Linked DNA regions of Oryctolagus cuniculus. The protein of the gene in region 1 purifies or fractionates together with the protein of each later gene. This does not show direct contact. Links are inferred from orthologs where the notes say so. Each region holds a gene or a part of one and is shown on either strand. Other genes may lie near its edges.

Region 1 (4,223 bases):
GGGAAAGCGCGGCTGCCCGGGGCGCGCAGGGGCTCCCGGCGCCGCAGCCAGGCGCCAGCTCCCGCTCTCCGCGGCCCGCCGAGGGAGCCGGGAGTCGGCCAGGCTCCGCTCCTCCGGGAATCGCCGCCGCCGCAGTCGCGGGTTTCCCGGCAAGAAGCAAACTCTGGCCAAGACTTCACTTCTCAACCGCCCCTGCTGCCTTCCCGGGGGCGAGCGCCGGGCTGAGCGGCCCAACCCGACACGCTGCTGGGCCAATCGGCGGCGCCACAGGGCGGGGAGGGGGCGGATCAGAGGCGGATCCACCTATCAGAGAACGCAGGGGGCGGACCAGGAGGGGCCGTCATTCCTAGGTTAGAGTGAACCTACTCCGTCCCTCGCCCCTCGCCCTCCCCCACCCGCCTGGGGCTGTCCCCGCCGCTCGCCTGATTCCTCTGTGGAAGGCGCTCGGCAAGTGTGTGAGCGAGCGCCGGGCAGCCGCGGGGACAGCGGGACAGCTGAGCAGGGGACGCACGGAGCGGGGTGGGGGGAGGTCGAGGGGAACAGGTGGCGCGGGAGAGCAGGCGTGTAGGTGTGCTGGGCGAGAGGACAGCCGGGGTAGAGGGCAGCGACCGGGGCTGGCCGGCGTTAGAGAGGTTGCGGGAGCCGGGGGTGAGCAGCGGGGAGCAGCACTGAACACTCCCAGAGAGGAAGGGGCCGGAGAGGGAACCCCGCCGAGGAAAGGCTGCCGAAGCGGGGTAGGGGACGCCTGGGAACAAAGATGAGAGGGAGGTTCCCCGGGGGTGGGGTGCAGAAGGGGTAAAGAAAAGGGTGGAAGGGAGGTGCATGGCCGGGGGAAGGAAAGGACGGGGTGGGTGAGTGTGCTCCCAAACTCCCACTTCTCCCCTAAGGAAAACGGTAAACGCTTGTCCTGTGTCCCGGGGGAGATGCTTAGCTGCAAGAACCCCACTGAGTACTGTCTTGAAGCACCACGTTCTGTTAACGAGACTCAGCCCCTCCTATTTAAGGACGGTATAGCCCAAGCCTGCGGTCCCACAAGAGGTTGGATTCCCGGGAGGCCACAGGGTTCCAGTCGAGTCTAGCAGGCCGGACTTGGGTCCCAAGAAGGGAGGTGATGTGGGGGCGGCAGGTAAGGCCCTGCCCCCTTCGCCACCAGTTGGGGAGACGGTACCAAAGGTGGAGCTCGGGCGCACGCACTGTGACCGGGGCCTCCGGGTGCGACGCCAGCGGGCCCTCCGCCGCCCTCCTCCCGGCTCGCCCCGCACGCCGCCAGGCTGGGGGCGCGCCAGGTGAGCGGCTCGGGCCCGGCGCCACCGCCCTCCTCGCGCCGGGGGCGGGGCCGGGGGCGGAGCCTCCACGTCCCGCCCAGCGCCCGGACCCTGCCGCGCCGCTGCGGCTCCTCCTCCCTCCTTCCGTCGCCGCCTTCTTCCGTCCGTCGTTCCTTCCTTCCTGCCTCAGCCGCTCAGCTCGCGGCATGGGGCAGAGCCTCCGATCGGCCAGCACCACCTGAGGATCCTGGAACCGGCACCCGCGATGGAGGACGACCAAGAGCTGGAGAGGTAACGGCCGAGAAGGCGGGCGGGGCGGGCGGAGTAGGCCGCGCCCAGGCAGGGGAGCGGGCGGTACCGGGCACGCGGCCCGGCCCGGGCCTAACCTCCGCGGCCCTGCAGAGCAGCAGGGGCCCGACCCGGGACGCTGAGAGAGGGAACAGGGCCCGACGGGGAGGAGAAGGGAGGAGTCGTGGATGTGTTTGAATAGAGGCGCTCCGAGGGACAGTAGTTCTCGAGGAGGGCGGACCAGTTGGCAGAGCAGAGTTGGGTCCCGAAACTGCCCAACCCCGTTAGAACAGCGGCGTATTCAGTCCGGCTTAAGCCCCCCCGTCACTACCGCTCTCCCTCCTCCTCCGTGCAGACTGTTAGCCGTGTAGCCCTGCCTCAAAGCGCTGAGTTCTGTTTCTCCCTCCCGCTGTACTGTTTCAGCTCTTACCGTTTCCTAGCTTCCTTACCTCTTGCAAGTGGAAGCCATAGTTGGGCCTGCACATTGATAATCTGTAGTCTCTGTTTATATGCTGGAGCAATCTTGTGTTTTTCTACACCTTCAACTCCCTTTTCCTCTTCCAGCAGGGCTCACCCTATGCTATATCCCTTTCTTGTGACTCTTCCAAAAGAAATGTCTTTGCAGACACTTAAGTGTATGTTTTTCTAAGAAGATGCTCCGTGTGGCCCACGTGGATAGTTAATGGAGCAGGGAGAAACTGGAGTCAGCAAATTAAATATTCATTGGTAGAAGTGGTGGAGGCAGAAAAGAGAGAGGCTGACAGTTCTGTGTGTAATTGCTGTGGATTAGAGTAATGATGTGTGGCAATTGTGATATAGTAAATGAAAAAAAAAGCTAGTTACAATATTCAGTATGATCTCACTTTTATAAAAAATATGTGTGTAGAAAAATGTCTGGATTGAAGACCTCAATGGCCGAAGGCGAGAGGAAGACAGCCCTGGAAATGGTCCAGGCAGCTGGAACAGATAGACACTGTGTGACATTTGTTTTGCACGAGGAGGACCATACCCTAGGAAATTCTCTGCGTTACATGATTATGAAGAACCCGGAAGTGGAATTTTGTGGTTACACTACGACCCATCCTTCAGAGAGCAAAATTAATTTGCGCATTCAGACTCGAGGTGCTCTTCCAGCTGTTGAGCCATTTCAGAGAGGGCTGAATGAGCTCATGAATGTCTGCCAACATGTGCTTGACAAGTTTGAGGCCAGCATAAAGCACTATAAGGATCAAAAAGCAAGCAGAAGTGAATCCACATTCTAGTCCCTTGTGCAGGATACAAGGAGGACTAATCTCTGGGATACTCTTCTTCATGATTGTGCAGAACCCAGAATTAGAAGTTTGTGATTACAACAACCTGCTCTATCTTTCCAAAAAAAAAAAAAAAAAATGGTTCTAGCTGTTGACCCATTCATCACAGCTGTTGGAATCCCCGCAAGAACCTGTGTATTCTCCTAATAAATTCCCTCTTTTATTGAAACTATTTTTGAGTGGTTTCTGTTCCTTGCAACATCCTCAAGGATGACTTTATTTGCTTGCAGTAGAGCCAACATTTAAAGTGATAAAACAGAGCATCAGGCACCCAAAATAGTGGTTTCATCATGGGAATCAAAAGGAGTATACATTCCTGACTAGGATTGGGGTGGTGAGGCAAAGAGGAGATGGAATAGACCATTACGCAGATAGACTGGTGGGTTTCAAAAAGAAAGAAGGTCAGGATGTGGACTTGGCTTCTTAGATATTTTACTGATGAGAAAGTTGTATCCTTTTCTCTTAGGGGATTGGGTAAGGTTAGGGAATAATTTGAAAGAATTTTGAGAATTCTGGTTTCACATGAGGGTCTCAGGAGTTATCCAGCTCCATCTTTGTACCATCTATAGAATAATTGTTTACTGCCTGAGGAGAAACCTGGAATGAGCAAATTACATTTTTAGTCTAAGTAGGTATCCAACTGTAGCCTAGGGTCATATAGAAGAAACACTATTTGAGAGAAAGGACACAGAGGGAAAATACCATGTGGAGAAAATGACTTGGAAAACTTGAAATATTAGTGAAATCACATCCAAGAGCCATTGTATCTGTCTACATCTTCAACATCTTTCATACCAGTCATACCAGAACTTCCTTCTTCAATTATCCTAAATACCTGTCAACCCTAGAGCCTGAGCACTCCCATATCCCAATGCACTGTGCTTTGGGGCCTTAGTTGATCCTATTTATTCGTGTGATCCTGGGACCTAGCACAACACTGGACAGCAGGTGGACACTTAGTAAATATGAGATGAATCCCTGTAGGTAGTTATGGCATGTTAGCTTTTCAGTAACTCTTAGTTGAGCTGCCCTAGAGCCTCTTTAAAGATATTTATTTATAGAGCTTCTGGTTTGTACCTTGGGGATAGGTATAATAGTGAGACACAATAAGTGTTGCATAAGAGAAACAATATTTTTAAAAAGTTGTAATTCTGGGGAAGAAAATACAATATCAAGATAGAAAGCATGAGAGAGAATTTTGCTTTAGGTATGGAAGTCAGGGAAGCTCTTCCCAAGATTACAGGAAGAGAAGGCTCTCATGATGGAAATTAACATTGTGAGGGAATAGCATGTACAGAGGCCCTGAAGCAGAAAACTAGTGGTCTGGGAAACTGAAGGTATTGAAGGAAGATTTGATTGT
Region 2 (2,810 bases), on another chromosome or scaffold:
AAAATTCAAAAAGAAAAAAAAGATCAGAAGCAGGAGAGCCAGGACTTGAACCAGCACCCCAATATGAGACATGTGCATCCCAAGCAGAGCTTAACCTGCTGTGCTTCCAGGCCCACCCCTTAAGCCACTTTCTTCATAAAACACTTAGAATTCTTTGTTTTCTGTACTGAAGCCTGACTCATCCCTGCAAGTGCGGCTTTCAGAGCTGGCCGCCATGGTGGCCTCCTCTGATCTGGCCCCAGTGTCCTACAGCAGGGTCTAAGTGAGACAATTCCAACAACCCCACCCCGCTGGCGACCCAGTTAGCTCCTGATAAAGGCACAAGCCTCCTCTTCCAGCCCTGCTGAGCTAGGTCCTCCCATCACACACCCCGCCGGTTCTTCCCAGCCCAAGCCCGGTGCTGCCGGTTAGGTGTGGCTTCAGAGTTCAGCCTGGTGAGAGCTCCCAGCTGTGGCTGGTCCAGCCCCACCGTCCCCTGTGTCCACACGAGGCAACCTGCGAGACAGCGCTGTTTACAATCACCAACACCGACGGAGGGGGGACATCCGAGCCATCGTCACTTTATGTTTCCAGGGGAGGCTGGCTTCTGGCTTCTGACCTGTGCCAGGCTTTCTTCTGACAAACACGGAGAAGCACAGAGGCAGCAGCCACGCTGCGCAGTCTACGTCATCCTCCTGCGCTTCGCCTGGAGGTCTGAGGCCTGGGCCGGTGGCAGCGGGACGCTCAGAGTGCCCACCCTGCGATCCTCTTCCCTGCCGGCTGCCACGCACACCTTCTTCTTGGAGATCTTCAGTCTCATGGCCTTGGCGATCTCCATCATCCTAAGACACAGAACAAGTCGGGAGAGAACCTTCAGGATCACTTTGAGAGCCACTGGCCGGAGAGCAGCCTTGAGGACAGTGTCCACAGGTGGAGGTGCACGAGCCCCCTCCCACCCCTCAAAGCCAGCAGACAGACAATTTCATTTCACTGTGCTGTGAGAAAGTATCCAGAGGCTGGAGCCAGCGCCATGGCATAGCAGGTAGAGCTGCCGCCAGTGACGATGGCATCCTGTGTGAGTGCCAGTTTGAGTCCCGGCTGTTCTATTTCTGATCCAGCTCCTGCTAATGGCCTGGGAAGCAGTGGGAGATGAATAAGTGCTAGGGCCCCTGCACCCACGTGGCAGACCCGGAAGAAGCTCCTGGCCTCGGCCTGGCCCAGCACTGGCCACTGTGGCCATCTGGGGAGTGAACCAGCAGATGGAAGATCTCTGTCTGTCTCTAACTCTTTGAAATAAATAATAAATCTTGTTTTTAAAAAAAAAGGAGGAGCGGGCCAGCGCTGAGGCGTAGAGGGTTAAGTTGCCGCCTGCAGCACCGGCATCCCATATGGGCACGGGTTGGAATCCTGGTTGCTCCATTTCCGATCCAGCTCCCTGCTAATGGGTCTGGGAAAGCAGGGAAGATGGCCCAAGTCCTTGGGCCCCTGCACCCACGTAGGAGACCTGGAAGAAGCTCCTGGCTCCTGGCTTCAGACTGGCCCAGCTCCAGCCATTGCGGCCATCTGGGGAGTTAACCAGCAGATAGAAGATTCTCTTTGCCTCTCCCTCTCTCTAACTCCATGTGGAAGAAACTATTGCCAGGTGAAGGAAAACCAGGCTCTCTAGATCCAGATCCTCCCTTTCTTTACCAACAGCAACCTGGAGAGCAAGCGGGACGGGGCTGGGGCGGCTGCTGGAATGCACCAGGCGCCAGGCCCTGCTCCCGCTGGTCTTTCAGCCTCGCTGCCGTGGGCATGCTGCCCAGGGCTGGCCCTCAGAACCCCGTCATCAACTGCTGGAGGAGGGGAGGCAGGGCTGTTACAGAAGCCAACTGACCGCACCTGTGAGGACCCAGGAAGCCTGCCCGCCCCCCACATGATCGGAGAGGCCGTGTCACCCAGCTCCCCCGTCTGCTCCGAGAAGCTCAGCCGTGACACCCCTGCACAGGCTCTGCCTTGCCTTGGACCCCTCCCCGCGGCCCCCTCCATCTGAAGGGGAAGCTCTCGCTAAGCTACAGCTGGGCTGTCAGAACCACATGGACGGAACGCCGCCTCAGAGAACGGGAGCCTGCTCGGACCTGCAGGGACGGAACGCCCTGGAAGGCTCCGGTTTGAGGCTCAACGACTCCCTGTGGGCTGCAAGGCCCTCAGAAAGTCAGGCCCTCCTCTGACCCTCACGCGGCTCAGTTGATTTTAGGGAAACTGGTGAGATGATCGGACAGATTCTAACCCTGCGCCTCGTGGAGAAGGCGCTTGGCAGTGCCTGAGGGCTCACTCGCCTGCGGCGTTGCCAGGCCTCCCCCCAGGCCTCCCCCGCTCCGACACAGGCGGCCGCCCCGCCCCGCCCCGCGGCTCACTGCTCTCCATCGCTCACCTTCTCTCACTGAGCTTCAGGTCCCTCTGCAGTACGGTCAGGTCAACCTGGAAGTCGTTTATGTGCAAAGCAAGTATGATCACATACGCCGTGATCTTGGCCTTCATAGAATTCGAAATCAAGTTCCGTAAACTGCAACATCAATGGCAAGAAAGGAGAAATAAAATTAAACTCTAGGACAATTTCTCAGAGCCGGGGCCCCTACGTGCTGACGCGCTTCCTAACTCCAGGAAAGGAAAGGAATCCGGCCGGCACCGCCTGTGCCTCCCCCGGCGAGGGGTGCGGGCAGGGCAGAGGGAGTGAGCCCACACTTGCCGCTGGCAGCGCCCCAGCCTGGCCCCGCCACTCAGCAGGGCTGCGGGCAAAACAGCCATCCCAAACCCAGCGGCTGCCGATTCTCCCACGCGCACGAAGGAGC
Region 3 (2,817 bases), on another chromosome or scaffold:
GGGTCTCCTCCTGGAGCAGAGAGAAGACAGCGAGGGTCTCCTCCCCTCAGCAGAGAGAACAGAGCGAGGGTCTCATCACCCCCCAGCAGAGAGAACAGAGCGAGGGTCTCCCCCCAGCAGAGAGAAGACAGCGAGGGTCTCCTCCCCCCCAGCAGCGCACAGGAGGGTCTCCTCCCCCCCAGCAGAGCGCACAGTGAGGGTCTCCCCCCAGCAGAGCACACAGCGAGGGTCCCCCCCCCAGCAGAGCGCACAGCGAGGGTCTCCCCCCAGCAGAGAGAAGACAGCGAGGGTCTCCTCCCCTGAGCAGTGCACAGCGAGGGTCTCCTCCCCCGAGCAGAGCACACAGTGAGGGTCTCCTCTTCGCCCACGAGGACTCTCTGGCCCCCGATGACTTCATCCACCGACGGACGATGTTCCTGGCACCCTGGCCCTGCCCTCAGGAGGGCTCGCTCTCTGCCACACCAGCGAAGACCCTAGGACACACAGCTCACATTCCTTGCCAGGAGTCCACCCTGGGGACCGGCACAGCTGGGCCAGCGCAGCCCTAGTCCCTCCAGCGGTGCCCGCACTGGGGGCTGCAGCACTTGTAGAAGGTGGTCATGGGCTCGTCTGCAGAGCGCGTCTGAAGCTGCATGAAGTAAGCACGAGGATGTTCGCACTTGGGACACGGCTCTGCAAAGGAGAAAAACCAACCAGGGAACCACATTACATAAAATGACGCTGGTGGGGCCAGCATGGCGGCACAGTGGGGGGCCACCGCCTGCGACACTGGCATCCTATGTGGGCGCTGGTTAGAGTCCCGGATGCTCCACTCCGGATCCAGCTCCCTGCTAGTGCAGGGCAAGAGCAGCAGAGGACGGCCCAAGTACCTGGGCACTGCCACCTGTGCAGGAGACCCAGGCACTGGCCTCAGCCTGGCCAGCCTTGGCCATCACAGACATCTGGGGAATTAACCAGCAGTTGGAGGGTCTCCTTCTCTCCTACCCTGTCATCTTGCCTTCCAAATAAATCTTATCTTTAAAAAAGAGTTATTTGTTTATTTGAAAGAGTTAGAGAGAAAAGGAGAGACAGACGTCCACCTGTTGGTTCATCCCCAAATGGCTACAACAGACAGGGCTGGGCCAGGCCAAAGCCAGGAGCTTCATCTGGGTCTCCCAAGTGGGAGCAGGGGCCCAAGGACCTGTGCCATCACCCGCAGCTTTTCTCAGGTCATTTGCAGGGAGCTGGAAGCGAAGTGAAGCAACTGAACTTGAACCGGCGCCCATCTGGGAAGCTGGTGCTGCAGGGGCAGCTTAACCTGCTGGGCCACAGCGCTGACCCCAAACAGATAAATCTTCACAAAAACGATGCTGGTGAGGGACACTTCGTAAGATCACTAAGGACACTACCAACAGAGGCTCCACTCCCACCAAGCTCGAACACTGAAGGGACAGGTGAACCTGTGCCCTGTGAAACACTCCTCCCGTCCTGGGACCCTGCGTCTCTCCCATCTGGCTGGAGACTGATTAGAGAAGTAACTTGGAAGGGGGCTATCTCCACGGTTGGTGCTGCTGTAACAAACTGCTGGAGACTGAGTAATGGGGAGAGGCTCAAACAGCTTTGAAGTAAGTACTGAAAAGCCTGTGTAAGAGAATTTCAAAGAGCTCATAGAAAATGAAACTAACAGTTTCCAGTCCATGCATAGTTTCTAAAAGATTTACGGATCTATTTGAAAGGCAGAGTGACCTCTGATGAAGGAAGAGAAAGAAGCCAAGTCTGATTAATATCAGACGCCCTGGTTAATATCAGACGCCTGTCTCCCTTCTCGTGCAATCCACAGGAATAATTTACCAACTACTGTTTAAATGCACGTTTTTCAGTAGCTCTAGAAACTTTTTTTTTTTTTTTTTTTGACAGGCAGAGTGGACAGTGAGAGAGAGAGACAGAGAGAAAGGTCTTCCTTTTGCCACTGGTTCACCCTCCCATGGCCGCCGCGGCCAGCGGTGCACCGCGCCTATCTGAAGGCAGGAGCCAGGTGCTTCTCCTGGTCTCCCATGGGGTGCAGGGCCCAAGCACCTGGGCCATCCTCCACTGCACTCCCGGGCCACAGCAGAGAGCTGGCCTGGAAGAAGGGCAACCGGGACAGAATCCGGCGCCCCAACCGGGACTAGAACCTGGTGTGCCGGTGCCGCTAGGTGGAGGATTAGCCTAGTGAGCCGCGGCACTGGCCAAGTGTAAATAATTTTTAAGAGGTGAAATCACTTGCTGGTTGTTTGTTTTTTGATACAACCAGAAAATAGTAGCATTATAATAATACAGACAGACAGACAGACAACACAGTCCATCATGGGAGGCTTCGGCTGTCGTGGCCGTCAGCTTGACACTCCACAGGTGGGGGTGGCTTTTATATCCTACAACACATACTAAACGGCAAAGGTGCATTTCATCTGTCCTGACAGAAAACCACCCGGCGTTGCTGTCAGACCACGTGTGCTCTGTCAATCTCTGGCTGTGGGGGTCCACTTTCCCTAGTGGTTTAGTTCACGTTTTTGAGTCTGTCACATACAGGATGTTACCCTGTAAAGGGCGGGATTTATGTCACATCAACGCTTGAAGATGCTGGTGCTTGATGGGAAGAGCTGCCTCCAAATTTGAAGCTGGAAATGACTGGAGTGACTTTTGAAAACAGAACGAAAATTCAGGCTTCCTAGATTCTGCCTTGCATGTTAAGAACTGTGTAAAAATGAAAATGTCTGCGTTGATTCTCAACACCAGTGAAATCTCAGTTAACAAGCAGAAGGCCGAGACCTTCCTTCTGCGCTTCACTCTCCAGACGGC

The links. The genes of interacting proteins can lie anywhere in the genome.
Region 2: the proteins of POLR1D (region 1) and POLR1E purify together in Homo sapiens (affinity purification with mass spectrometry; 3 studies listed by BioGRID and IntAct, with this or other methods). This does not show direct contact. The link is inferred for Oryctolagus cuniculus from reciprocal best matches to the Homo sapiens genes POLR1D and POLR1E.
Region 3: the proteins of POLR1D (region 1) and POLR3K purify together in Homo sapiens (affinity purification with mass spectrometry; 3 studies listed by BioGRID and IntAct, with this or other methods). This does not show direct contact. The link is inferred for Oryctolagus cuniculus from reciprocal best matches to the Homo sapiens genes POLR1D and POLR3K.

The regions. Positions count from the first base shown.
Region 1 is NC_091440.1:86,895,451-86,899,673, reverse strand, and holds the start of POLR1D (protein POLR1D), read left to right. Parts: upstream 1-1,377; 5' UTR 1,378-1,530; coding exon 1,531-1,556; intron 1,557-4,223.
Region 2 is NC_091432.1:200,304,081-200,306,890, reverse strand, and holds the end of POLR1E (DNA-directed RNA polymerase I subunit RPA49), read right to left. Parts: intron 2,525-2,810; coding exon 2,393-2,524; intron 822-2,392; coding exon 662-821; 3' UTR 545-661; downstream 1-544. UniProt on the Homo sapiens protein: Component of RNA polymerase I (Pol I), a DNA-dependent RNA polymerase which synthesizes ribosomal RNA precursors using the four ribonucleoside triphosphates as substrates.
Region 3 is NC_091450.1:34,577,137-34,579,953, reverse strand, and holds the end of POLR3K (DNA-directed RNA polymerase III subunit RPC10), read right to left. Parts: intron 673-2,817; coding exon 545-672; downstream 1-544. UniProt on the Homo sapiens protein: Core component of RNA polymerase III (Pol III) which synthesizes small non-coding RNAs using the four ribonucleoside triphosphates as substrates. Can mediate Pol I proofreading of the nascent RNA transcript.